4 linked regions of the Anolis sagrei genome follow. The protein of the gene in region 1 interacts with the protein of each later gene in a biochemical or structural test. Links are inferred from orthologs where the notes say so. Each region holds a gene or a part of one and is shown on either strand. Other genes may lie near its edges. The genes, in order: IKBKG, IRAK1, NFKBIA and SENP2.

Region 1 (7,675 bases):
CCCATTACTTTACTGTGTTGTGCCTTCTTCCCACAACTTCCAAACTGTAAAACAAAAAGTAATGCTTTCTTTTATATTGCCAGAAAAAAAATTGGTTACTATTAACACTTTGCTTATTACAGCCATTGGTTTGAATCTCCATTCAAACATGGAGAGCATCAAATTCAAGTGACCTAGGGTCGCTGCGGAGCCCCCGGTGGCGCAGTGGGTTAAAGCACTGAGCTGCTGAGCTTGTTGATCGAAATCGAAAGGTCGCAGGTTTGATTCCGGGGAGCGGCGTGGGCTTCCGCTGTCAGCCCTAGCTTCTGCCAACCTAGCAGTTCGAAAACATGCAAATGTAAGTAGATCAATAGGTACCGCTCCGGCAGGAAGGTAAGGGCGCTCCATGCAGTCATGCCGGCCACATGACCTTGGAGGTGTCTACGGACAACGCTGGCTCTTCGGCTTAGAACTGGAGATGAGCAACACACACCAGAGTCAGACATGACTGGACTTAATGTCAGGGGACTACCTTTACCTTTACCTTTTTAGGGTCGCTGCAAGTTAGAAATGACTGGAATAATGACAACAGCAATAATTCTGGCTTTCTCCCAAAACTGAAGCTCAAGGTGGTTAACAACATATTAAAAACAATGCAAGTTGAAAACAATTCAAAAGTTTGAATAAAAGGATAAATATATGAGTTGTTATAGGTTTTTTCGGGCTACATGGCCATCTTCTAGAGGCATTCTCTCCTGACATTTCGCCTGCATCTATGGCAAGCATCCTCAGAGGTAGTGAGGTCTGGACCACTCTAACAACCACCATGTCAGACTACACAGAGAAGCCATTGAAATGTGGGCAATTTCAACAGAAAAAAGAAAACCATGAAAATGAACAAAACCTAGCTACCAGTATTAAAAAACTCTAAAATTACAACAGCAAAACAACAGAGAGGAAACAATCTGGGACATCTAATCACCTCTCAACAAAAGATTGCCCCAGGCACTGCCAGGCCATCAAATGCTATTTTTATATGCTTTGATGTTTTATATCTAATGTTATGTTGTTTATTTTATTGCAATTTGTATTGTTATATTGTATTCTTGTTCGGGCTTGGCCCCATGTAAGCTGCTCCGAATCGCCTTTCGGGAGATGGTGGCGGGGTACAAATAAAGATGATGATGATGATGATTATTATTATTATTATAAACAAGCACCTTGGTATCCCTACGGATGTCCCGGTCCTTAAACACTCTCTGCTTCATTCGGAGAAATGCTGCATTCACAGAGCTCAGGCGGTGTTGTATTTCAGTGTCAATGTTGACTTTTGTGGAGAGGTGGCTGCCATGGTAGTGGAAATAGTCAACATTTTCTAATGTTACACCATTAAGTTGTATTTCTGGCATTGGAGAGGGATTGGCTAATGACTGCTGGAACAGCACTTTGGTTTCCTCGATGTTCAATGACAGGCCGAGAAGTGCGGGGAATACCCTTGCTTTAAGTATGCGGATCTTCGTTGCCAGTGTGATGTCTCTACTCTTCACTGTTTTATTGAGATTGGTCATTGCTCTCCTCCCAAGAAGTAAGTGTCTTCTGATTTCCTGGCTGCAGACTGCGTCTGAAGTAATCGTTAGGCCTAGAAATACAAAATTTGTCACTGCCTCCATGTTTTCTTTCTCTTTTTGTTGTTCATTCGTTCAGTCGTCTCCGACTCTTTGTGACCTCATGGACCAGCCCACGCCAGAGCTCCCTGTTGGCCGTCACCACCCCCAGCTCCTTTAAGGTCAGTCCCGTCACTTCAAGGATGCCATCCATCCATCTTGCCCTTGGTCGGCCCCTCTTCCTTTTGCCTTCCACTTTCCCCAGCATAATTGTCTTCTCTAGGCTTTGCTGTCTCCTCATGATGTGGCCAAAGTACTTCAGCTTTGTCTCTAGTATCCTTCCCTCCAGTGAGCAGTCGGGTTTTATTTCCTGGAGGATGGACTGGTTGGATCTTCTTGCAGTCCAAGGCACTCTCAGAACTTTCCTCCAACACCACAGCTCAAAAGCATCTATCTTCCTTCGCTCAGCCTTCCCTAAGGTCCAGCTCTCACATCCGTAGATTACTACAGGGAATACCATGGCTTTGACTAGGCGGATCTTTGTTGCCAGTGTGATGTCTCTACTCTTTACTATTTTATTGAGACTCGACATTGCTCTCCTCCCAAGAAGCATCTTCTGATTTCCTGGCCACAGTCTGCGTCTGCAGTAATCTTTGCACCTAGAAATACAAAGTCTGTCACGGCCTCCACATTTTCTCCCTCTATTTCCCAGTTGTCAATCATTCTTGTTGCCATAATCTTGGTTTTTTTGATGTTTAGCTGCAACACGGCTTTTGCGCTTTCTTCTTTCACCTTGATTAGAAGGCTCCTCAGCTCCTCCTCGCTTTCGGCCATCAGAGTGGTGTCATCTGCATATCTGAGGTTGTTAATGTTTCTTCCAGCAATTTTCACCCCAGCTTTGCATTCATCCAGCCCCACACATCCTTGCATGATGTGTTCTGCATACAAGTTAAAAAGGTTGGGTGAGAATATGCAGCCTTGCCGTACGCCTTTCCCAATCTTGAACCAGTCTGTTGTTCCGTGGTCAGTTCTGACTGTTGCTCCTTGGTCCTTGTACAGATTCCTCAGGAGAGAGACAAGGTGGCTTGGTATGCCCATCCCACCAAGAACTTGCCACAATTTATTATGATCCACACAGTCAAAGGCTTTAGAATAGTCAATGAAGTAGAAATAGATGTTTTTCTGAAACTCCCTGCCTTTCTCCATTATCCAGCGGATATTGGCAATCTGGTCTCTCCTTCCTCTGCCTTTTCTAAACCCAGCTTGAACATCTGGCAACTCTCGCTCCATGTATTGCTGGAGTCTTCCTTGCAGGATCTTGAGCATTACCTTACTGGCATGAGAAATAAGGGCCACTGTACGGAAGTTGGAGCAGTCTTTCGCATTTCCCTTTTTTGGTATGGGGATATAAGTTGATTTTTTCCAGTCTGATGGCCATTCTTGTGTTTTCCATATTTGCTGGCATATGGCATGCATCACCTTGACAGCATCATCTTTCAAGATTTTAAACAGTTCAGCTGGGATCCCGTCGTCGTCTCCTGCTGCCTTGTTGTTAGCAATGCTTCTTAAGGCCCATTCAACCTCACTCCTCAGGATATCTGGTTCTAATTCATTCACCACACCGTCAAAACTATCCTCGATATTATTATCCTTCCTATACAGATCTTCTGTATAGTCTCGCCACCTTCTCTTGATCTCTTCAGCTTCTGTTAGGTCCCTGCCATCTTTGTTTCTTATCATACCAATTTTTGCCTGAAATTTACCTCCAATGTTTCTAATTTTCTGGAAGAGGCCAGTTAATCGGTCTGCATAATTTAGTTGTTAGTGCTAATGTATTGTGTTTCATGTTGAATGGACGAACCCAGAGGGTGCTCACCAATGCTTCCTCTTCATCCTGGAAAGAAGTGACGAGCGGAGTGCCGCAGGGTTCTGTCCTGGGCCCGGTCCTGTTCAACATCTTTATTAATGACTTAGATGAAGGGTTAGAAGGCAGGATCATCAAGTTTGCAGACGACACCAAATTGGGAGGGATAGCCAATACTCCAGAGGACAGGAGCAGGATTCAAAACGATCTTGACAGATTAGAGAGATGGGCCAAAACTAACAAAATGAAGTTCAACAGTGACAAATGCAAGATACTCCACTTTGGCAGGAAAAACGAAATGCAAAGATACAGAATGGGGGATGCCTGGCTCGAGAGTAGTACGTGTGAAAAAGATCTTGGAGTCCTCGTGGACAACAAGTTAAACATGAGCCAACAATGTGATGTGGCGGCAAAAAAAGCCAATGGGATTTTGGCCTGCATCAATAGGAGTCTAGTGTCTAGATCTAGGGAAGTAATGCTACCCCTCTATTCTGTTTTGGTTAGACCACATCTGGAATATTGTGTCCAGTTGTGGGCACCACAATTCAAGAGAGATATTGACAAGCTGGAATGTGTCCAGAGGAGAGCAACTAAAATGATAAAAGGTCTAGAGAACAAGCCCTATGAGGAGCGGCTTAAGGAGCTGGGCATGTTTAGCCTGAAGAAGAGAAGGCTGAGAGGAGATATGATAGACATGTATAAATACGTGAGAAGAAGCCACAGGGAGGAGGGAGCAAGCTTGATTTCTGCTTCCCTGGAGACTAGGACGCAATGGAGCAATGGCTTCAAACTACAAGAGAGGAGATTCCATCTGAACATGAGGAAGAACTTCCTGACTGTGAGAGCCGTTCAGCAGTGGAACTCTCTGCCCCGGAGTGTGGTAGAGGCTCCTTCTTTGGAAGCTTTTAAACAGAGGCTGGATGGCCATCTGTCAGGGGTGATTTGAATTTAATATTCCTGCTTCTTGGCAGAATGGGGTTGGACTGGATGGCCCATGAGGTCTCTTCCAACTTTTTGATTCTATGATTCTATGTCCACACATTCCTTCTTTATTTCCTTCTTGGGGTGATTCCCTCTTCAATCCCGCCATGAAAGGCACTAAGGGGCTCCCCCTCCCAGCTCTAAGACCAGGCCCATTTTCTCGCCTTCGCTTTCCCTCTCTGAGTCTGGCCGTCTGCTGACGTCACTTCCGCCTCGGTCTTGCTCCTTTCGATTCCCGGAGTTGCTTTCTCTTTCTGGACGTCACTTCCGGATCAGACCAAAACAAGGTTCCAGGAAGGAGGAAGCGGGAGGAGACGGCGGCATTGGGCAGGCTGGCGTCGAAAGGAAAGGTGCGACTCTCTGTTTTTCGTAAAACTCAGGCGGTGAAAGGAGGGAATAGGAGCTGGGAAGGGGGTGTCAAAGACTGGGGACTGAGCCTGTGACTCCCGCCCGAAGGAGGTGTGCGGACAGGAGCCCTTCCTTCCTGCCCTAAAAGTGAAACTGAGGTGCCTGGGGTCCAAAAACTATAATATACATGGCATTTGGGAGCTCAAGAGGAGTGCAAAGTGGGCTAAGCCTGGCTGAGGTCTTCCTTTTCTGGGAGCAAGTCCAGAAATCCCTTCTTTGGCAGATGATAAGTTTGTTTGTAGAGACTACAACTCCCAGAATCCCCCCTTCGGTAGGGCAGATGGCTGTTCCCTCGGGGGATTCTGGGAGTTGTATCCCAAATTGTCCAGGCTCTCCCCCTAACACGACTCTGGGTGGAGAATCAATGGGAGTCTGACACTACTCCTGGGAGATGTAGTTTCATAGAGTCTTAGCCAACATTGGCTAAAACATATTATCAAACAGGCCTCATAAATAACACATTAAGCAGCTAAAATCTGTGTAAAAATATGTTGTTGTTGTTCATTCGTTCAGTCGTCTCCGACTCTTCGTGACCTCATGGACCATCCCACGCCAGAGCTCCCTGTCGGCCGTCACCACCCCCAGCTCCCTCAAGGTCAGTCCAGTCACTTCAAGGATGCCATCCATCCATCTTGCCCTTGGTCGGCCCCTCTTCCTTTTGCCTTCCACTTTCCCCAGCATAATTGTCTTCTCTAGGCTTTCCTGTCTCCTCATGATGTGGCCAAAGTACTTCAACTTTGTCTCTAGTATCTTTCCCTCCAGTGTAAAAATATAAAAGTATAAAAATGTCTCTCTCTTATAAGTTAAGGCAATTGCTGTCCTCATCATCATCATCTATATAAATAAAAATGTAATGTTCATTTGTGAAATTAACATAACTCAAAAACCACTGGATGAATTGACATCAAATTTGGACACAATACACGTATCGGGCCAGCCAGTGACCATCACTCATAAAACGCTAAAAAACACAGCAGAAGAGACTTAAAAAGCCAAAAAATTAAAAAAAATACATTACAACGCATGCACAAAACCACATATATCTACGCAAACACACATATATACATGCACATATAGACACACATTCACATACAAAGCACACATACACAGACTGAGCCAGGGGATGGCTAGTACAAGATAAAATCAATAAACTGTGCGGTTTACAACAGCACAGAAACATACAACATAAACTAGACCATTGCAATTAACCCAAATAGGTTACATAGTCTTTCCTTGTAGGATGTTAAAATTATCATTCAAATAAATACTCAGTGGTTCTCAACCTGTGGGTTCCCAGATGTTTTGGCCTTCAACTCCCAGAAATCCTAACAGCTGGTAAACTGACTGGAATTTCTGGGAATTGTAGGCCAAAACACCTGGGGTTGAGAACCACTACTCTAAAACTAAACAGAGGCTGGATGGCCATCTGTCAGGGGTGATTTGAATGTGATTTTCCTGCTTCTTGACGTGGTTGGACTGGATGGCCCACGAGGTCTCTTCCAACACAATTATTCTATGATTCTATGACTGTCTGTAGTTACATTTAGTACTTGTTGATAGGCTCCTCCTTATAATCCTTTGTATATATTACATTTTTGTTGTTAAAGAATATAGAGTGGTATCCATGAACCTCATTATGTGCCCACTCAAAAAAAATGCAATAACACTGTCATAAATTAGGCTGAGATGGTAGGTGGGTCATGATCACCCAGGAAGCTTTGTGGCTGGACTTATATATTATATATCTAGGTCTCTCTTGCATGTTACACGAATGGGTAGCTGTGGTCCACCAAATGCTGTAAGACTGCAGCTCCCATGAGACATAACTACTAGGTAGGGATGTTGAGAGTTGTAGTCCTTCAGCATCTGAAGAGTCACAAGCTATCTGTCCCACAATGTATTGTTGTTCATTTGTTCAGTTGTTTCCGACTCTTCGTGACCTCATGGACCACGCTAGAGCTCCCTGTCAGCCGTCACCACCCCCAGCTTCTTCAAGGTCAATCCAGTCACTTCAAGGATCCCATCCATCCATCTTGCCCTTGGTCGGCCCCTCTTCCTGTTTCCTTCCATTTCCCCCAGCATAATTGTCTTCTCTAAGCTTTCCTGTCTTCTCATGATATGAACAGAGTACTTCATCTTTGCCTCTACTGTCCTTCCCTCCAATGAGCAGTCAGGCTTTATTTTCTGAAGTATGGACTAGTTGGATCTTCTCGCGGTCCAAGGCACTCTCAGAACTTTCCTCCAGCACCACAGTTCAAAAGCATCTATCTTCCTTCGCTCAGACTTCCCTATGGTCCAGCTCTCACATCCGTAGGTGACTACATAGAATACCATTCCTTTAACAATTTATACAATTTATTCGCTACACTAAATCCAAGTGTCAGTGCTAGAAATCTATCCTTAGGCATCTTATGGGACACAAGAATTCAGTTTCTTTGTTTTCTCTTTATAATTGGCCATAGAAGGCTAGCTATCTCTGTGAATATGTATTTCTTACATATTTCAGCCCATGACCAGGAGGTTCATATTCAGTACTCCGCCATGTAAAACATACAAGAAGAAATATCTGTGATCAAGGGATAAAGTTTCAAACTTAAAATTTTCATAGACATGCTATTAAGTAATGCATCAGCCATTTTTGCTTGTATAGAGAAGGATTTAGATGTATGTGCTACTATCTACTATCTGATAGCCCAGTAAAAGTATTTTATAACCACAGAGAGAAATAAGGCAAAATCCTGCTGTTCCTCTCCTCTTATTCAAGAGCAATGGTCGATTGATGTTTATGTGACTGAATGAGCTAGGCTTTGCTCTGTGTGCATGTCCATCCCATTCTTCA
Region 2 (7,159 bases), about 1.5 Mb from region 1:
GTTTGGAAACTTCAATTTGTTCAAAGATCGACAGGTAGGTTGTTAGCGTGAGTGGATATAAGAGAACCAAGTATCCCACTCCTGAAACAGCTGCATTGGCTCCCATTTAGTTTCCGGGTCTGATTTAAAGTACTAATTTTGACCTTTAAAGCCTTTCACAGCATCAGTCCAGATTACCTGAGACAACGGGTTCCTTTGTAAACACTGAGGAGATTGTTAAGATCAAGTGGGGAAATTCTGGTGTCCTCAAGCATCCGTGACAGTCTCCATTTGACGATCGCTAAAGAGGGGTCCTTCTTGGGAGTGGCTCCCTCTCTTTGGAATGCCCTCCCAGGGGAGATTAGATCTGCACTCTCTTTTTTGGCATTCAGGATGAGCCAAAAAACCTCCTTTTCAAAGGAAGTCTTTGGAGGAAACTAAGTTAGGAAGGCTCTTCGACTTTGTTACGTATTATCAGTGTGGTATTCAATGTATTTTATTGGGGTTTAATTAGTGTTTCACAGCATTCACTCATATTTATGGTTTTGTTTAAACAATTATATTGTATGTTTATACTGAGTGTAAGCTGCCTTGAGGCAGGAAAGATGGGGCATATATTTCATAAATAAATAACTAAATAAGTTGATTGCCAGGTACTTCCGTGATTCTTTAAAAGGGCCCAGCTTTGTAGAGTACAACTGTGTACATACATACAAACCGTTTACAGAACACCAGCCCACCACATGCATGCACACTAATTCACAGAATTGCAAAAATGAGTGTCATAATAACTATTTTTTAAAAATGTTTGCAGGTTCTATAAGAATTTGGCATTCGAAATCCAAACAAAAAGACCTCAGATTTGCTATATTACAGTTGTTTTCACAACTTGCTTTCAGGACTCTTAGGTTATACTATGTGACTGATGAAATAAGTGTTGGAATTTAGGAATTAAATTGGTGAAATAACTGTGTTTTATGACATTTTTTGTTTGTTTTTCAAATTCAACACCCCAAAATGCGTTAAAATCAACTACAATATTGAAATATTGCAGGCTTGTGATGGCACTGGCAACAGTGTTGTGACTTTGCCTTTTATCTTGGTCAACAGCACAAAAATCTGTCATACAGACTATCCTGGATTTCTCCTATTATTTGAGTTGCTTACAGGATATGTCCTAATCAGGCTCCAAGAGGACTGCCATCACAGAAGAATGCCATGTAGAAAGGGCTTACATTCTTCAGAGAGAATAGCAAGTCAGGCATGAGTGTATCCGCTTCCAAACAAGGAAAGACCTGTCCTTCTGATGGCAATACCTCATAATGGGATAAAAAGGTAAGCTCCATGGACATATATATGTTCTTCAGTGTTATTTCAACCAACCAGTGTCCCCATTTCAGTCTCTGATAGCTATCATTCACACTCTTCCCCCACTGCAGGCCCATAGCCAGAATTTTGATTCGGGGGGGGGGGGGGGCTTAAGTCAGGGGTCCTCAAACTAAGGCCCGAGGGCCAGATACAGCCCTCCAAGGTCATTTACCCGGCCCTCGCTCAGGGTCAACCTATGTCTGAAACGACTTGAAAGCACACAACAGCAATGTAATCAAATATGGTTTACCTATCTCTTCAGACAAAAAGCAGGCACACACTTCCCATTAAAATACTATTAAGTTTATACTGGTGGGGTTGGGGGGGGGGGGTTGTGTCATTTAGGAGTTGTAGTTGCTGGGATTTATAGTTCACCTACAATCAAAAAGCATTCTGAACTTCACCAATGATGAAATTGAACCTAACTTGGCACACAGAACTCCCATGACCAACAGAAAATACTGGAAGGGTGTGGTGGGCATTGACCTTGAGTTTGGGAGAGCACTGTGGACTCAAACAATGATGGATCTGGACCAAACTTGGCAGGAGTACTCCATATGCCCAAGTAGGAACACAGATGAAGTTTGGGGAAAATAGACTACATTTGGGAGTTGTAGTTACTGGGATTTATAGTTCACCTACAATCAAAGATCATTCTGAACCCCACGAACGAGAGAATTGGGGCAGACTTCCCACACATAACCCCTATGGCCAAAAGAAAATACTTAAGGCCATCCAGTCCGACTCCCTTCCATCAGTATTTGAAAATGTAATCAAATACAGTTTATCCACAAGCATAAAGAAATTACATATATTAGAAACCAACACTCATTACTTTATTTTCCAGATCACCAGACTGGGCCACAGCAATGCAGCAAGGGACGGCTAATATAAAATATACAAACATTGAAACAGAATTCAATATAAACAGTATTAAAAATTCAGTTTAAAAACAATTCAACATAATCAATGCATATTAAAATTAAAGCCACAGCATCTCCTGACTTGATCTTAAACGTACGTATAAGATATGTATGCAGTAAACAACGGCGCTCCATGCGGTCATGCTGGCCACAAGACCTTGGAGGTGTCTACGGACAACACCGGCTCTTCGGCTTAGAAATTGAGATGAGCACCACACCCCAGAGACAGACATGACTGGACTTAATGTCAGGGGACAACCTTTACCTTTAAACATTAATGTGGTGCTTAGACTTGGGTCCCATGGCCAAGCTACCTCATTACAAACTTCATCACACTACAGCAGCTATCCCTTTAAATCAGTGTTTCTCAACCTGGGGGTCGGGACCCCTGAGGGAGTCATGAAGGGGTGTCAGAGGGGTCGCCAAAGACCATCAGAAAACACAGTATTTTTTGATGGTCATGGGGATTCCATGTGAGAAGTTTGAGCCAATTCTATTGTTGGTGGAGTTCAGAATGTTCTTTGATTATAATGAACTATAAATCCCAGCAACTACAATTCCCAAAAGTCAAGGTCTATTTTCCCCAGGCTCCACCAGTGTTCACATTTGCGCATACTGAGTATTTATGCCAAGTTTGGTCCAGATCCACCATTGCATGAGTCCACAGTGCTCTCTGGATATAGGTGAACTACAACTCCCAAACTCAAGGTCAATACCCACCAAACCCTTCCAGGGTTTTCCGTTGGTCATGGGAGTTCTGTGTGCCAAGTTAGGTTCAAATCCATCACTGGTGGAGTTCAGAATGCTCTTTGATTATAAGGTAGGTAAAGGTAAAGGTAGTCCCCTGACATTAAGTCCAGTCATGTCTGACTCTGGGGTGTGGTGCTCATCTCTAAGCCGAAGAGCCAGCGTTGTCCATAGACACCTCCAAGGTCATGTGGCCGGCATGACTGCATGGAGCGCTGTTACCTTCCCGCCGGAGCGGTACCTATTGCTCTACTCACATTTGCATGTTTTCAAACTGCTAGGTTGGCAGAAGCTAGGGCTGATAGCGGAAGCACACACCGCTCCCCGGAATCGAACCTGCGACCTTTCGATCAACAAGCTCAGCAGCTCAGTGCTTTAACCCACTGCGCCACCGGGGGCTCCTCTTTGATTATAAGTGAACTATAAATCCCAGCAACTACAACTCCCAAGTTACAAAATCAATCCTCCCCCAACCCCACTAGCATTTACATGTGGGTGCATTGGGTATTTGTGCCCAATTTGGTCCAGTGAATGAAAATACATCTTGCATATCTAATATTTACATTATGATCGATAACAGTAGTAAAATGACTGTTATGAAGTAGCAACAAAAACAATGTTATGGTTGGGGGTCATCATTACACGAGGGACTGTATTAAGGCGTCATGGGATTAGGAAGGTGGAGAACCACTCCTTTAAATCCTGTGGCTGCCTCCCGATGAACTCTGGGGCTTGTAGTTTAGTGAGGCTCAGGACCTCTCTTAAAGTCTTCTCCCTAAACTACAAGCCCCAGAATCCTTCAGGAAGGAGGCAGCCACAGGCTTTAAAGTAGATACAAGCTCTCAACGTTCAAACACTCTTGGTCCCAAGCATTTGGAACACTCAAAATGTCCATAGAAGCAGCAGTCAGCGAAACTGAAGGCGGGTGAGGCAAAGCAATAGGCCAATAGAGGCTTTGCCGCATTCAAGATGGCTGCCTCACGTAGGATTAAGGAAGTTTCCCGTCATGCTGTGCCGCACTCAAGATGGCGGCCTGACTGACCTCCCAACGCTGCTCCGTCAACCAGGCCGAAGAAGCGAGGAGACGTCGGCGCAGGCGCAGAGCTGCCAAGGGGGCGCGGCTCGTGCTTTAAAGAGGAAGTGGCCCTTTTTCGGGGCGGCCTCCTCCTCCTCCTCCCTCAGTCTCTGTTTCTCTCTCTCTCTTTCTTTTCCTCGTTTTCTTCTCCTTTTCCCGCCCCCTCGTCCGGCCTCTCCTATGGCCTGGCCTGGGCGGAGGACGAGGAGAAGGAGAAGGAGGAGGGTGGCCGCCTCAGCAGCAGCAGCAGCAGCCTTATCCGCCAGGGGAAGGGCCCGCGGGGGATGGCCGGTTCCCACTCGCCCAGGTTCCTGTACGAGTTGCCGGCCACTGTCATGTGCCAGTTCTACGAGATTATGGACGCCCTCGGCCGGGCGGAGTGGCAGCGCTTCGGTGAGTGGCTCTCCTGGCTTCCCCTCAGGGAGTGTGGCCGCCCCTCCTCTCAGGCAGGATCTGATCCCGGATTATCTGGCAGTGGAGACTCATATAATCCAGTTTAAATAGAGTAAATCTGGGATCAGAACCTGGGATAGAGGGCAGGGCAGTATTATGAATCCAGGACCGGATTATCTGCTTTGAATCTGAATCACCTGCCTTGAACTAGTTTATATGGCATTGTAGATTTAGGACCCTTCCTGACAGCCATATAATTTAGAATATCAAGGCAGATAACCCACCATATCTGCTTTGAACTGTGTTATCTGAGTCCACACTGCCATATAATCCGGTTCAATGTGGATTTTATGCAGTTGTGTGGAAGGAGCCTTAGATAATCCAGTTCAAAGCGGATAATGTGGATAATCTGCATTGATAATCTGGATTATATGGCAGTGTAGAGGGGGCCTGAGTTTACATGGGCATATAATCGAGTTCAAAGCAGATAATCTGGATTTTGTATGACAGTGTAAAAAGGGACTGAGTCTACACTCCCATATAATCAAGTACAAAGCAGATAATCTGAATTTCTTATGGCAGTGTAAAAAAGGGCTGAGTCTACACTGTTATATAATCCAGATAATCTGGATTTTATATGGCAGTGTAGAAGGTCTGAGTCTACACTCCCATATAATCAAGTTCAAAGCATATAATATGGATTGTATAGCAGTGTAGAAGGGGCCTGAGTACACCCTGCCATATAATCCAGTTCAAAGCAGATAATCTGGATTTTGTATGACAATGTAGAAAGGGGCTGGGTCTACACTGTCATATAATCCAAATAATCTGGATTTTATATGGCAGTGTAGAAGGGGTCTGAGTCTACACTCCCATATAATCAAGTTCAAAGCAGATAATCTGGATTATATGGCAGTGTAGAGGGGGCCTGAGTTTACATGGGCATATAATTGAGTTCAAAGCAGATAATCTGGATTTCTTATGGTAGTGTAGAAAGGGACTGAGTCTACACTGCCATATAATCCAGATAATCTGGATTTTATATGGCAGTGTAGAAGGGGTCTGAGTCTACACTCTCATATAATCAAGTTCAAAGCAGATAATCTAGATTATATAGCAGTGTAGAAGGGCCTGAGTACACACTGCCATGTAATCCAGTTCCAAGTAGATAATCTGGATTTTGTATGATAGTGTAGAAAGGGGCTGAGTCTACACTCCCATATAATCGAGTTCAAAGCAGATAATCTGGATTATATAGCAGTGTAGAAGGGCCTGAGTACACACTGCCATGTAATCCAGTTCCAAGTAGATAATCTGGATTTTGTATGATAGTGTAGAAAGGGGCTGAGTCTACACTCCCATATGATCAAGTTCAAAGCAGATAATCTGGATTATATAGCAGTGTAGAAGGGGCCTGAATCTACACGCCCATATAATCCAGTTCAAAGCAGATAATCTGGATTTTGTATGACAGTGTAGAAAGGGGCTGAGTCTACACTGTCATATAATCCAAATAAACTGGATTTTATATGGTAGTGTAGAAGGTCTGAGTCTACATTCCCATATGATCAAGTTCAAAGCAGATAATCTGGATTATATAGCAGTGTAGAAGGGGCCTTAGTACACACCACCATATAATCCAGTTCAAAGCAGGTAATCTGGATTATATAGCAGTGTAGAAGGGCCTGAGTACACACTGCCATATAATCCAGTTCAAAGCAGATAATCTGGATTTTATATGGCAGTATAGAAGGGACGAGAAGCTCCTTCCACACAGCTGAATGAAATCCCACTCTTTCTGCTTTGAAGTGGAATATATGGCAGTGTGGACTCAGATATTCCACTTCAATTAGATATTGTGATATTTTCTGACTTGATATTCTGGGTTATAGGACTGTGTGGAAGGGCCCTGAGTCTACTCTACCATATAATCCAGTTCAAATCGGATAATCTGGATCATTTGGCAGTAAGGAAGGGTCCCAAGTCTATACTGCCATATAATCCATTTCAAAACAGATAATCTGAATTTTATATGGCAGCATAGAAGGAATTGTAGTCTTTTCACAAGAACAGACAGTGGAGTTTAGTAGCCTAATTTTGTATATATGTGTATACACACACACACACACACACATATATATATACCAAAGAAGGCTGCTAAAACACACAGTCAGTTCTTGTGAAAAGCCTAGGGCCCCTTCTACACTGCCATATAAAATCCAGATTATCTGCTTTGAACTGGAATATATGGCAGTGTAGACTCATATAATTCAGTTCAAAGCAGATAATGTGGATTATCTGCTTTGATAAACAAAATTATATGACAGTGTATAAGTGACCTAAGATTCATAACACACATTTTGGTACCCAAATGTTAGCCCTGTTTCTGGGTATATTTGTCCTGCCGATTCCTTATCTGCTCTCCTTTAGAAAACCATATCTTTGTGCTGGTCAGTGACCGTAATAAAGTTTTGTATTATAGTGTATTGATAGCCGTATCAAAGAAACAACAGCTGATGTGGTCTGTCCAATGCAGTTTTCTGAACCAGGGCCCCAAATAACCAAAGGAACAGGTCTAAAAATCAAGATACTAGGACATTTTTGGTTGTGGTGTTATTATCATGATATGTATTTATTTATTATATCTCGCATTTTCTCCCTCAAAGGAGACTCA
Region 3 (6,845 bases), on another chromosome or scaffold:
GTATAGAAGAAAGCAATTTCATTGTGCAATGATTACATATGAAATCCTGGAATCAGCTTGAGGACCAGGTGATTATACAAACCACCAAATCTGGCCTTGAACCGGTTTCAGGATCCATGGTTTGACAGCCCCTAAGAATGATTTTTTAAAAGAAAAAAATCCCCAACCAGAATGCACATCTTCACATCAGCAGAGTGCTTTGGGTGCCTGCACAGTGATTCACATTCTGCAGAGCCAATTTTGCTTTGAAATGGAGTTTATACTGGAATACCGTAATGCACATTAAGGGCTTTCTTTTGGACTTTCCCCTGACTTAGTTTATGTTGGTTTAAAGTCCTTAAAGCACGCTACAGCATGCTTTATCAGCATGCATTTTCTAAACGCCAGAGTTTGAAGCTAGCTAGCAACTGAATCAAATATAGATGGGGCCCCTGTCTGTTTTACAGTCTCTAAAAACTAGTCATGGGGGAGAAGATAAAATCTGATCATGCCTTTTAAATGTGCACCAAATGTCTTAGCAAAAAATAAATGGCACTCTATCAAAAATGTTGCAGCATGTTGTAGTATATTCATCTGTGCAATCATGCAATGGTGAAGTGTGTAGGTGCGTGCATACATGTGTGTGCATATATGTGTGTGAAGTTTGTTTCAAAAAGGTACCAACTCCAACTGGACATATTTTACAGGAATTTAAAAAAACATGCTGAGGATATGCAATAAAATGCAATTTTCCAAGCCCAAGCCCTATACTGAAGTGAATTGATACATGTTGACAGTTTGATCTGTATTCTACTCACAGCCAACAATGTGCTGCCACATAGAAAACTCTCTCTCTCTCTCTCTCTCTCTCTCTCTCTATATATATATATATAATTTTGCTGTATCCTCATGTTTGCAAGCTGCAATATTATTGATAAGATATTATTTATTTATTTATTTGCAGTATTTATATTCCGCCCTTCACACCCCAAAGGGGACTCAAGGTGGATTACAATGCACATATACATGCAAACATTCAATGCCATTTAGACATGCAACATATATAGACATAGAGGCAATTTAACATTTCAGCGTTTCCAGCTTCATGAGGGTATGCTTGTTTCCGGTCACAGGGGGAGCTGCCACTTCACTGTCTACTTGTGACACCGGGTCCTTTGATGAAGTACTTCCCAATTCTTCTGCATGCTGCAGGAAGGTTTTATGGCGTCGTTAAATTAGCCTCCCCACAAAAAGCGGTACTTAAATCTCCTACTTGACAGATGCAACTGTCTTTCAGGCTTCATAGGTTGACAGCAAGCTAGACTATTAATGGTTGGGAGCTTACTCTGACCCGGGCTGTCTTTGAACTCAGAACCTCTCAGTCAGTAGTAATTTTATGCAGCTAACTAACTAGCTGCGCCACAGCCAGGTCCATATTCTATGTTACTTTGTGATGTACACTGAGATGTATTTGTAACACATAGATAGATAGTAGGCTTGGTTGCTCCAAAAAAAAAAAAAAAGATTCAAAACTCCTTTTGGATATAGGGGGTGCTGGTGGTTTGATTCTAAAGTCACTTCCAAATTTTTCCAAAAGAAAGTCAGAACTTTCCGAAACTTCCGTCTTTAGGCTCTGGGACTAGCTTTACTGGCTTGTGCCAATCTTTGCAGTTCGATCTTTAAATCATCGTATCATGTCAGCATTTCCAGTTGTTTATTATTATTTGGAACACAACGTGTCCACAGCAAACAAGATCACTCTGCTGGCTGTTGTATTGGATCACACATCGGACACACATCGGACACTTTGCAAGTGTCTAGAACTGTGTGATGTATTGGTGAATAATGCGTGCATATCCCAGTAGGGTGGCCTTTTGCAACTGACAGATGGTAATTTTGTTAGCGCGGATTGTACTTAAGTGCAGGCCAAGGTCTTTAGGCACTGCACCCAATGTGCCAATCACCACTGGGACCACCTTTACTGGCTTGCGCCAGAGTCTTTACTGGCTTGCGCCAGAGTCTAAATCCTCATATTGTGGATTTAGAAACAGCTTTTCAAGTTGTTTCTCTTCAATCCTGCTGTCGCCTGGGATTGCAACATCAACTATCCATACTTGGTTTTAACACAAATGTGAGGTCAAGAGTATTGTGCTCCAAAACTCTGTCTGTCTGAATTTGGAAGTCCCAGAGTAGTTTGACGTGTTCATTTTCTGTAACTTTTTCAGGCTTGTGATCCCACTAGTTCTTTGTCACAGGCAGATCATAGAATCATAGAATCAAAGAGTTGGAAGAGACCTCATGGGCCATCCAGTCCAACCCCCTGCCAAGAAGCAGGAATATTGCATTCAAATCACCCTTGACAGATGGCCATCCAGCCTCTGCTTAAAAGCCTCCAAAGAAGGAGCCTCCACCACACTCCGGGGCAGAGAGTTCCACTGCTGAATGGCTCTCACAGTCAGGAAGTTCTTCCTCATGTTCAGATGGAATCTCCTCTCTTGTAGTTTGAAGCCATTGTTCCGCGTCCTAGTCTCCAGGGAAGCAGGAAACAAGCTTGCTCCCTCCTCCCTGTGGCTTCTTCTCACATATTTATACATGGCTATCATATCCCCTCTCAGCCTTCTCTTCTTCAGGCTAAACATGCCCAGCTCCTTAAGCCGCTCCTCATAGGGCTTGTTCTCCAGACCTTTTATCATTTTAGTCGCTCTCCTCTGGACACATTCCAGCTTGTCAATATCTCTCTTGAATTGTGGTGCCCAGAACTGGACACAATATTCCAGATGTGGTCTAACCAAAACAGAATAGAGCGGTAGCATGACTTCCCTGGATCTAGGCGCTATGCTCCTATTGATGCAGGCCAAAATCCCATTGGCTTTTTTTGCCGCCACATCACATTGTTGGCTCATGTTTAACTTGTTGTCCACGAGGACTCCAAGATCTTTTTCACACGTAGTGCTCTCGAGCCAGGCATCCTCCATTCTGTATCTTTGCATTTCGTTTTTCCTGCCAAAGTGGAGTATCTTGCATTTGTCACTGTTGAACTTCATTTTGTTAGTTTTGGCCCATTTCTCTAATCTGTCAAGATCGTTTTGAATCCTGCTCCTGTCCTCTGGAGTATTGGCTATCCCTCCCAATTTGGTGTCGTCTGCAAACTTGATGAGGAAGAACTTCCTGACTGTGAGAGCCGTTCAGCAGTGGAACTCTCTGCCCTGGAGTGTAGTGGAGGCTCCTTCTTTGGAAGCTTTTAAACAGAGGCTGGATGGCCATCTGTCAGGGGTGATTTGAATGCAACATTCCTACCTCTTGGCAGGAGGTTGGACTGGATGGCCCATGAGGTCTCTTCCAACTCTATGATTCTATGAAAGGACATTTAACCAACTACCAAGCTTGCAAACTTTGTGTTTTGTTTGTTTGTTAAAAAATGCAATGCAACTGTTTGGTCTGCCCCTGACGCGATAAATAAATACCCAATAATAATAATAATAATAATAATAATAATGCCACCCCATCCCCTTCCTTTTGTGGGTGTCCCTACGAAAATAACATGCCACCCAAGGCCAGATTAGTTTACTAGAGGGGGGAAAAACAGATAGGGAGGAAAATCCCAAGAAGGAATGGTTGGGCCTTGTTTTGTCTTTCTTCTCAAGGGGCAAAGATTGAGACAAGGGGGGGGGGGCAGTTGGGGTGGCTTCTCCTGAGTCACATAACAAGCCGTGGAGAAGAGAAGTACTTTCCCTGGTGTGGAAAAAAAAGCACCAAGTTTCCGAGGGAATTCCTCTCTGGCTGGCTGGGCTGGGAAATTCCCGCCGCCAGGCTCCTCCCCGCCGAGAAATCCCCTTCCAGGCGAGGCGCTATAGGCCCGAGCCAGCCCCGCCCGCCCGCCTTTCTCTCTCGCTTCTCCTCCTTCAGGCACATTTCTCTCCTCTCCTCCTCGACATGCTCAGCCCTGCTGTGGATCTCTTCGCCATGGAGGCCCCGAAGAAGGAGCGCCAGCTGGACCAGGACCGCCATGACAGCGGCCTGGACTCTATGAAGGATGAGGAGTATGAAGATCTGGTTCGGGAGCTGGAAGGCATCCGTTTGCAGCCGGTTCTCCCCGACGTGGCGGCTCCTCAGGCGGCTTGGAAGCAGCAAGTGACCGAAGATGGAGACACGTAAGTCCTCAGGGAAGAAAGGAAGGGGTTTCTGCAAAGTTGGGCCTTGGAGGTGTTTTGGACTACAACTCCCAGCATGCCTCACGGCCTCAGGCCCTTTCCTTTTGCCCCTCCGCCGTTTAAGCGGCGGAGGGGCAAAAGGAAAGGGCCTGAGGCCGTGAGGCATGCTGGGAGTTGTAGTCCAAAAACCTCCAAGGCCCAAGTTGGCCCATACCTGATCTACTTTGCCCAAACTTGAGTTCCCCACTTTCTGTTCATTCTTTCCTTCCTCCTCCTTTGTTTTTTCCCCTTTCCTCCTCCAGTTACATAAAAATCCTGGGGAATTTTTTTCTTTTTGCAAGGCTGGGTTTTTCCAGCCTTCCATTCTTCCTTTTGGGCGGGGCTTCAGGGAGGGGTGGGCGTGGCTTATTGTCCTCGAGGCGCCCGCCTGGAAAGTCCCTGGCCGCGCGCCAGGGACACCGCGCTCTCTCACACTGCTTCCTCCTCTCCTTTCGGAAAACACCCGGATGCACGCTCAGGCGCATGCGCGAGCCTTGGAAACTCCAAGCTTTCAACATCTGGTCCTGACATGTGGGATGTCTATGTGCTTCCTTTCCTTTGACAAAGCTGATCTCAGGGATTATTTTAAAAACACTTAGGGAATTTGGGTATGTGGTATGTTTGGGGAGGTTTTACTTATTTTTCTCTATTTTACCTATTTTCCTATTTTCACTCTTTTATTATTATTCTGAAATTGTTGCTAATAAAAATGATTTTTTTTTAAAATTAATGTTTTTTTTCTCTCTTTCTGTACATTTGCAGATTTCTCCATCTGGCAATTATTCACGAGGAAAAGTCCCTGAGTTTGGAAATCATTCGCCAAGCGGAACGAGACACGGCTTTCCTGAATTTCCAGAATAACCTCAATCAGGTACTTTAAGAGAGTTGGAAGAGATGTTGTGGGCCATCCAATCCAACCCCATGGGAAATCGCATTCGAAGCACCCCCGACAGATGGCCATCCAGCCTCTGCTTAAAAGCCTCCCAAAGAAGGAACCTCCACCACACTCCAGGGCAGAGAGTTCCACCGCTGAACAGCTTTCATAGTCAGGAAGTCTTTCCTCATGTTCAAGTGGAATCTCCTTTCTTGTAGTTTGAAGTCATTGTTCCGCGGGCAGGAGAAAACAAGGCTGCTCCCTATGATTTCCCCTTCACATATTTATACATGACCCTCAATATGTCTCCTCTCAGCCTTCTCTTCTGTAGGCTAAATATTCCCCGCTCTTAAGCCACTCCTCATAGGGCTAGTTCTCCAGACCCTTGATCATTTTAGTCCCCCTCCTCTGGACGCCTTCCAGCTTGTCCCCATCTCCCTTCAATTGGGGTGCCCAAAATTGGACACAATATTCCAGATGTGGTCTGACCAAGGCAGAATAGAGGGTCAGGAAAGAATGCTTCTGTAACATGGCCATACAGGCTGGAAACCTCACAGCAAACCAGATCTTGAACTGTTATCCCCAAAGTAAACAAACAAAAAAAAAGAATTGGTAGTAGGGGACATCATCCATTAAGTTGCCCATTTGGATTCATCTACACCAGGCACCCTCCAGCTGTTTGGACCTCCAACATGCAGTAGCCCTATCCGGCTTGTTCAATGGTCAGGGTCCCCAGATGTTTTTGGCCTTCAAGTCCTAACAGCTTGTAAAGTGGCTGGGATTTCTGGGAGTTGTAGGCCATAAATATCTGGGGACTACAGGTTGAGAATCACTGCCCTAGGCTCGTGGGAAGAGCCCGCTATTCAGAGACGAATCCCAGACACTTGGGGCCCTTCCAGGCAGGCCCTATATCCTAGGATCCGATCCCAGGTTTTTTGCTTTAAACTGGATTATATGACTCCTCACCAAATAATCTGTGATAAACAGAAAACCTGGGATCAGATCCTTGGATATAGGGCCTGGCTGGAAGGGACCTCAGACTTCAACTTGGGGATGGTTCATTACAAAATTAATGCAGCTTGATACCACTTTAATTGCTGTAGCTCAGTGCTATGGAATTGTGGGAGTTGCAGTTTTGCAAGGTCTTTGCAAACAATCATGCATATCTAACCACTTCCTCATTAGAAATGGTGCTTGAAGTGAGGGTTTGAAGTCTAGTAGAATTCCTTTGCTTATCAGGCCATTCTTTGCCCTTGCAGACTCCACTCCACTTGGCTGTGATCACGGACCAGCCAGAGATCGCGGAGACTCTCCTGAAAGTCGGATGTGACCCAGAGATCAGAGATTTCCGAGGAAACACTCCTCTGCACATTGCTTGTGAGCGGGGCTCTCTCAGCAGCGTCGGTGTCCTCACACAGTATTGTCAGAAGCAAGTCTGCTCCCTCCTACAGTCATCCAACTACAATGGTAAGCTCATATCTGATATACCACTGACGTCAACTTGCCCAGTCATTGCACACTTCGACCTCTGGCATCATAGTTTTGCCCAATGAATAAGTGACTTTCTTGGCTAGCTCTCAATAAAGATTACTGGGGCAAGTGTCACGTAGTTAAGAGAAGGCATGCAGGGTTTTTCCCCCTGATCCATTCATAGCAAGTTTTCCCAGGCGTTTTGGAGTACAGCTTCTACAGCAAGCATGGGCAAACCAGCTGTTAGGAATTGTGGGAGTTGAAGTCCAAAACACCCAGAGAGCCAAAGTTTGCCCACACGTATTCTGTAGTATGGTAATTTAGCTGTATAA
Region 4 (7,145 bases), on another chromosome or scaffold:
AATGTGGGAATTGAAGTCCAAAACACCTGGAGGGCCAAGTTTGCTCATGCCTGGTTTAGATGCACCCCAATAAAGCACTTAGAACCATACTTGAGTTGTATCTTACACAATGAGCCCCCGGTGGCACAGTGGGTTAAACCCTTGTGCTGGCAGGACTGAAGACCGACAAGTCGGAGGTTCGAATCCAGGGAGAGCGTGGATGAGCTCCCTCTGTCAGCTCCAGCTCCCATGCGGGGACATGAGAGAAACCGCCCACAAGGATGGTAAAACATCAAAACATCCAGGCGTCCCCTGGGCAACATCCTTGCATATAGCTAATTCTCTCACACCAGAAATCACTTGCAGTTTCTCAAGCTGCTCCTGACATGAAAAAAAAATCTTACAGAATAAATCAAACATGCTGAAACATTTTAGACTGAAATATTTAAGCTTGGAATGACATGTCACTCCACCTGCTGTCGGGGTCATATTGGAACAAATAGTGCTGATGTTTATTTAACTGGCAGAGCGAGTCACTGGGCTCCTGAGGCCACTTAATTCAGGATCCTTTCATGATTGCATTTCATAACAACTCCTGATGCCAAAACTCAGTTTGACTCCGCATGCAACAGCACATTTCCGCACTCAGGGCAGCATCAGATTTCGGCAGCGGTGTATTTTTAGGCTGACTCCCACAGTCGCGGGACCTTCAGAATTCAGGACACAAGGATCTGAACTGAATTGTAATGCAAGGGATGCATCTACATGGGAGAAGCAACACAGTTTGATAGCACTTTTAAGTGCCATGGATCAATGCTACTGAATTCTGGGAGCTGGAGTTTAACCAAGTCTATAGCCGACTGTAGATTTGCGTGAAACCCAATGGAACAGATCGACGACAAATCGGATAAAGGAATAGTCCACTGTGCCTATGAGTGTTGGTGCCGAGACATTAACCTTGGGGGCATCCAAGAATGAATGCAGTTTGACACCATTTTAACTGCCATAGCTGAATGTTAGGGATTCCTGGGAGATGGACTTTAATGAAGTCTATAGCCAACTATATATCTGCATGAAACCCAAAGGAACATTGGGTGCATCCACACTGTAGAATGAATGCAGTTTGACACCACTTTAACTGCCATGGCTCAATAGAATAATGGGAGATGGAGTTTAGCAACGTCTATAGCTGACTATATATTTGTGTGAAACCCAAACAAACAGATTGACGACAAATCAGATAAAGGAATAGCCAACTGCGTCTATGCCGTTGAGGCTGCGACATTAACCTTGGGTGCATCCACACTGTAGAATGAATGAAGTTTGACACCACTTTAACTGCCACGGCTCAATGCTATGGATTCCTGGGAGTTTAATGAAGTTTATTTATTTATCGACTATAGTTGTATAGTTGTATTTATCGACTATAGTTGTATACCACTTTTCTCAGCCCACGGGCGACTCAGTTTACAGAGGCATAATACAATGCCCAAACATCAGAAAACATTTAGAAACATTTAGAACATTAACATATTATATACAATCATAATAAGGTCAATAAAACATCAATCATAAATCATGACCTTCTGAATTCAGGACACGACGATCTGAACTGAATTGTGATGCAAGGGGTGCATCTACATGGGAGAAGCAACACAGTTTGATAGCACTTTTAAGTGCCATGACTCAATGCTACTGAATTCCAGGAGATGGAGTTTAACAAAGTCTATAGTCGACTGTAGATGTGCGTGAAACCCAATGGAGCAGATCAACGACAAATCGGATAAAGGAATAGCCAACTGTGCCTATGGGCGTTGATGCTGAGACATTAACCTTGGGTGCATCCACGCTGTAGAATGAATACAGTTTGACACCACTTTAACTGCCATGGCTCAATGCAATAGAATCATGGGAGTTGTGATTTCACAAGGTTTTCAGCCTTCTCTGCCAAAGAATGCTGGTGCCTTGGCAAACTACAACTCCCAGGATCCACAGCATTGGTAAAGTGGTGTCAAACTACATAGATTATATAGCAGGCATGGGCAAACTTGGGCCCTCCAGGTGTTTTGGACTTCAATTCCCACCATTCCTCGCAGCCTCAGGCCCCTTCCTTTTCCCCCTCAGCCACTTAAGCGGCTGAGGGGGAGAAGGAAGGGGCCTGAGGCTGCGAGGAATGGTGGGAATTGAAGTCCAAAACCCCTGGAGGGCCCAAGTTCACCCATGCCTGTTCTCCAGTGCCTGGAATATCATTATGCCAAGAGGTCACACTGTAGAACTGATGCAGTTCGACACCACTTTCCCAGCCCTTGCTCAAGGCTGTGGGATTGTGGGAGTTGCAGTTCCTTGCAGCACTCTTTGGCAGAGATGGCTACAAACCCTGTCAAAGTACAACATCTCCCATGGCTTCACGCCTTTGAGGTGGGATGGTGTCAAAGCTGCACTCAGTTCTCCAGGCTGAGAGAGCCGAAGGAGGAGGCGACAGCAGCAGCGACTCACCTGCTCCCCGCGCGGGGCTCTCCGGGGAGCCGCGACGACAACAGGGAAAGGCCGGCGGTGGCGGCTCCCAGGACTAGGAGGAACCCGACCAGCGGCTTCATGGCGGAGCACCAGCGATGAGTCCTGGGGAGGCACGAGAGGCGGAACTGAAAGCAGCGGGCAGAGGAGCCAGCGGAGCAGAAAAGGGCGGGCACTCCTGGCGCTCCAAGCCGCGCCCCGCCCCTCTCGTGAGTCTTAAAGGGCCAGAGACCCAGGATTTCCAGGATGAAACACCAATCCCTGAATTCTGTCGCACTGGCTTCTGGGAAATGAAGTCCAAAAAACCAAAAACAAACATAAGGTTGAACGGTGGCGCAGTGGGTTAAACCACTGAGCTGATGAACTTGCTAACTGAAAGGTCTTAGGTTCGAATCTGGGGAGCGGAATGAGCTCCCGCTGTCAGCCCCAGCTTCTGTCAATCTAGCAGTTCGAAAACATGCAAATATGAACAGATCTGGGTTGTTGTATGGCCATGTTCTAGAGGCATTCTCTCCTGACGTTTCGCCTGCATCTATGGCAAGCATCCTCAGAGGTAGTGAGGTCTATTGGAACTAGGAAAAATGCGTTTATATATCTGTGGAATGAACAGGGTAGGGCAAAGAACTCTTGTCTGTTGGAGCTAGGTGTGAATGTTTCAGCTGACCACCTTGATTAGCATTTGATGGCCTGGCAGTGCCTGGGGCAATCTTTTGTTGAGAGGTGATTAGATGTACCTGATTGTTTCCCCTCTGTTGTTTTGCTGTTGTAATTTTAGAGTTTGTTTAGAGTGAAACATGCAAATGTGAACAGATCTGGGTTGTTGTATGGCCATGTTCTAGAAGCATTCTCTCCTGACGTTTCGCCTGCATCTATGGCAAGCATCCTCAGAGGTAGTGAGGTCTATTGGAACTAGGAAAATTGGGTTTATATAACTGTGGAATGACCAGGGTGGGGCAAAGGACTCTTGTCTGCTGGAGCTAGGTGTGAATGTTTCAATTGACCACCTTGATTAGCATTTGATGGCCTGGCAGTGCCTGGGGAAATCTTTTGTTGAGAGGTGATTAGATGTGTCTGATTGTTTCCCCTCTATTAGGTCTAGTGGAACTAGGAAAAATGGGTTTATATATCTGTGGAATGACCAGGGTGAGACAAAGGACTCTTGTCTGCTGGAGCTAGGTGTGAATGTTTCAACTGACCACCTTGATTAGCATTTGATGGCCTGGCAGTTCCTGGGGCAATCTTTTGTTGCGAGGTGATTAGATGCGCCTGATTATTTCCCCTCTGTTGTTTTGCTGTTGTAATTTTAGAGGTTTTTTTAAAGAGTGAGTAGATCAATAGGTACCGCTACGGCGCGCCAGGCAGTCATGCCGGCCACATGACCTTGGAGGTGTCTACGGACAACACCGGCTCTTCGGCTTAGAAATAGAGATAAGCACCACTCCCCAGAATTCGGACAAAACTGGACTTAATGTCAAGAGGGAAACCTTTACCTGAATGCCACATACAGAATTGGAACGTATTTGAGGCGTGTGAGGGATTTGAGTTAAGGAAACTAAAGTATTTCCCTTTCACAGGTGTGCTTTTCTCTCCTTATTGAAAGCGTGGCTACGTCACTTCCTCAGCGCCCCGTCGCTGGCCAATGACGTGCTTCCGGCCCGGTCGCTGCGGCTGAGGCCTATGCAGCAATGGCTGCCCGAGGCTCTGCGCTGGTGGTTCTCCCCAAGGCCCACTTGCCGCCGGGAGGCGCCGCCTGCTCGGCCGAGGAAGAGACGGTACCTCCTCTTTGGGCGGAGCGGGCCTTCCAAGGGGTTTCGGAGGGGAGTTGCCCGGCCAAAGAAGAGCCTTCCCCGAAGGCCTCCCTCTCTCAGGCCCCTTCCACACAGCTGCATAGAACCCCATAGTATCTGCTTTGAAGTGGGGTATATGGCAGTGTGGACTCAGATAGCCCACTTCAAAGCAGATATTGTGGATGGTCTGCCTTGATATTCTGGGTTATGTGTTTGTGTGGAAGGGCCCTCGGACAGTTTGACCTCACCAACTACACCTGGCAGTTTGGTGCACTAACTACACCAGGTATGGGCAAACCTGGGCCCTCCAGGTGTTTTGGACTTCAACTCCCACCATTCCTCACAGCCTCAGGCCCCTTGCTTTTCCCCCTCAGCCGCTTAAGCGGCTGAGGGGGAAAAGGAAAGGGCCTGAGGCTCTGAGGAATGGTGGGAGTTGAAGTCCAAAACACCTGGAGAGCCCAAATTTGCCCATACCTGAACTACACTGTGGAAATAAGGCACTTTGACTTCACTCAATAATACAAAAACATGGGAGTTGTAGTTTGGTGAGGCGCCAATACTCTTTGGCAGAAAAGCCTAAAGACCTTGTAAAACTACCACATCTTCCATGATTCTGTAACATTAAACCAGGGGTCCTCACTTTTTAAACAGAGGGCCAGGTCACAGTCCCTCAAACTGTTGGAGGGCCGGATTATAATTTGAAAAAAACATGAATGAATTCCTATGCACACTGCACTAGGTGCAAAACCCACTTAATACAATAATTAAAATGAAAAACAATTCTAAAAATATAAACTTATTAGTATTTTAATGGGAAGTGTGGGCCTACTTTTGTTTGATGAGATAGGATTGTTGTTGTTGTGTGTGCTTTCAAGTCATTTCAGACTTATATTGACCCTGAGTAAGGGCCAAGTAAATGACCATGGAGGGCCGTATCCGCCCCCTGGGCCTTAGTTTGAGGACCTCTGCATTAAACCATGCAGTTAAAGTGGTGACAAACTGCATTCGTCCAACAGTATAGATCAGGCATGGTCAAACTTCAGCCCTCCCAGTGTTTTGGACTTCAATTCCCACACTTTCTAATAGCCAGTAGATAGTGGTTCCCAACCCATTTGGGGTCTCCAGGTAGCAGTGAGCTATGAAAAAATTAAGAAGGGAAATCCATAACCGTGTCCTGCACAGCGATTAGTTTGCATGTATTCTACAGTCAGATCTCAAGTTACAAACATGCAACTTATAAACGACTCATAGTTAAGAGTATAACTATGACAATAAATGACATAGTAAGAGTGAGGATGAGACAATAGGAGAGGAGAGAAATCTACCCCAGGAAGGGAAATTCACTCCTGAAAGAGTTATCATGGGGGAAAGGTGTCTCTACTGAAGCTTTCTCACCAATCCTTGTTTCCACAACAAGCTTTCTCCCCCCTCCCCCCCCCCCAAATTTTTTCAATTATCGCCAGGACGGAAAGTCCACAGACAGCAAAACAAACACTATAGGAGTGTTAACACTTCCCTATGCTATCCAAAGCTATATAATATATATCTGTGAATGGAGAAATATTTGGTTTGTGTTGGTTCTCATAATATATATCATTTCCTATACAGTATATGTAATGAAGCTGTGTCCCAGTATTGTTATTGTTTGAGACCATATGGACATGTAACTATGCAGCAATCTTGCAATATATGTGGTAGATTGGAATTTTTTTTGTTCATATCAAGAAAGTAGATTAATCAAGTAATACGAAAATACTGTTTTTTGATGTAATGAAGTCAAGAATAACTGCTGCAGGCATGCATCGTCTTAATGGTTACAATTAACAAATTCCACCTTTCTTATATGCTGCAGGTCAGTTGGGTAACCCATACATTGGTATTGAGTATTGTTATAAGGAAAACCTCCGGGTTAGCAGATGTGACCATCAAGTTTGTAGATATGTACAGTGACTGTTCGGTAGCTGTAAAATGGTGCCTGTTATGCCTGAGAGCATGGTGTTTTTGGAGATTGGTACTTCAAGCTGAGAAAGAAAGATTCCTTGTTTCTCAAATTAATTTGTCTTTTTCTCTTCACAGCATTCAGTCTAATCCAGAAGACTTTGAACATGAGCAAATAAAAAGGCAAAAACTTGGTAAATTACCCCTGTTCAATCACTTTTCATATGATTGTAAACCTTGAAAGAAAAGAGCAGAAAGAGCAAATGCTTGAAATAGATCATAACAATTACTAGTAGTAGCCTGTAATTATGTTTATATAGTGAATTGATGTTGTTTGAATAAGGCCCGGATTAAGAAGAGGAGAACATTGTAAAAATACATGTTTGAGAACTATTGACAGTAATTTGCTATATGTTTGTGACATAGAGATAGTAAAGAACATTGTACTGCCCTAAATGTTCTTGGAATCCATTTGTGTAATCCATTGACTCAATCCTCTAACATAGTCAAAATTACATGAATGTCAGAAAAAATCATAACCCAAAGAAGGACTTCCTGTGGGAGTTTTCCCTTGTGACAGTGATACTGTATTGTACTGTATGAGATTTAGGATGTGAGTTTTCCTTTGACTTCCGTACCAAATTTCCTAGATAAATGATGTGTCATTTAATGTTATTAACTCTTTCCAGGTATTTTTGGTATGTTGGCAAGGGGAATTGCCAATTTAATTACACTCCCGTCCCAGTTGGCATCCAAATATCTTCAGACAGAAGAACAGCATGCAGAAGCCAAAGATGAGGTTTGTTTGCTTTTTGAGATGATAGGATCTTCTTATTGAAGCCAAATTAAATGCATAGAACTATTGTTTTGGCAGAGAGTAGGATGGAACTGAGTATCTTACAGTTAGTAATTCCTATTGTAATCTAA

What was found.
Region 2: the proteins of IKBKG (region 1) and IRAK1 form a complex in vitro, tested with the Homo sapiens proteins (3 studies listed by BioGRID). The link is inferred for Anolis sagrei from reciprocal best matches to the Homo sapiens genes IKBKG and IRAK1.
Region 3: of the proteins of IKBKG (region 1) and NFKBIA, one has a biochemical effect on the other in vitro, tested with the Homo sapiens proteins (15 studies listed by BioGRID and IntAct). The link is inferred for Anolis sagrei from reciprocal best matches to the Homo sapiens genes IKBKG and NFKBIA.
Region 4: the proteins of IKBKG (region 1) and SENP2 form a complex in vitro, tested with the Homo sapiens proteins (2 studies listed by BioGRID and IntAct, with this or other methods). The link is inferred for Anolis sagrei from reciprocal best matches to the Homo sapiens genes IKBKG and SENP2.

Annotation. Positions count from the first base shown.
Region 1 is NC_090022.1:174,520,886-174,528,560, reverse strand, and holds the start of IKBKG (NF-kappa-B essential modulator), read left to right. Parts: upstream 1-4,673; 5' UTR 4,674-4,778; intron 4,779-7,675. UniProt on the Homo sapiens protein: Regulatory subunit of the IKK core complex which phosphorylates inhibitors of NF-kappa-B thus leading to the dissociation of the inhibitor/NF-kappa-B complex and ultimately the degradation of the inhibitor.
Region 2 is NC_090022.1:175,997,232-176,004,390, forward strand, and holds the start of IRAK1 (interleukin-1 receptor-associated kinase 1), read left to right. Parts: upstream 1-4,142; 5' UTR 4,143-4,376; coding exon 4,377-4,485; intron 4,486-7,159.
Region 3 is NC_090021.1:301,262,539-301,269,383, reverse strand, and holds the start of NFKBIA (NF-kappa-B inhibitor alpha), read left to right. Parts: upstream 1-3,821; 5' UTR 3,822-3,912; coding exon 3,913-4,130; intron 4,131-4,931; coding exon 4,932-5,040; intron 5,041-6,302; coding exon 6,303-6,510; intron 6,511-6,845. UniProt on the Homo sapiens protein: Inhibits the activity of dimeric NF-kappa-B/REL complexes by trapping REL (RELA/p65 and NFKB1/p50) dimers in the cytoplasm by masking their nuclear localization signals.
Region 4 is NC_090023.1:222,745,688-222,752,832, forward strand, and holds the start of SENP2 (sentrin-specific protease 2), read left to right. Parts: upstream 1-4,136; 5' UTR 4,137-4,170; coding exon 4,171-4,265; intron 4,266-6,356; coding exon 6,357-6,412; intron 6,413-6,907; coding exon 6,908-7,017; intron 7,018-7,145. Other genes in the region: TMEM41A (transmembrane protein 41A), read right to left, coding at 2,476-2,576. UniProt on the Homo sapiens protein: Protease that catalyzes two essential functions in the SUMO pathway.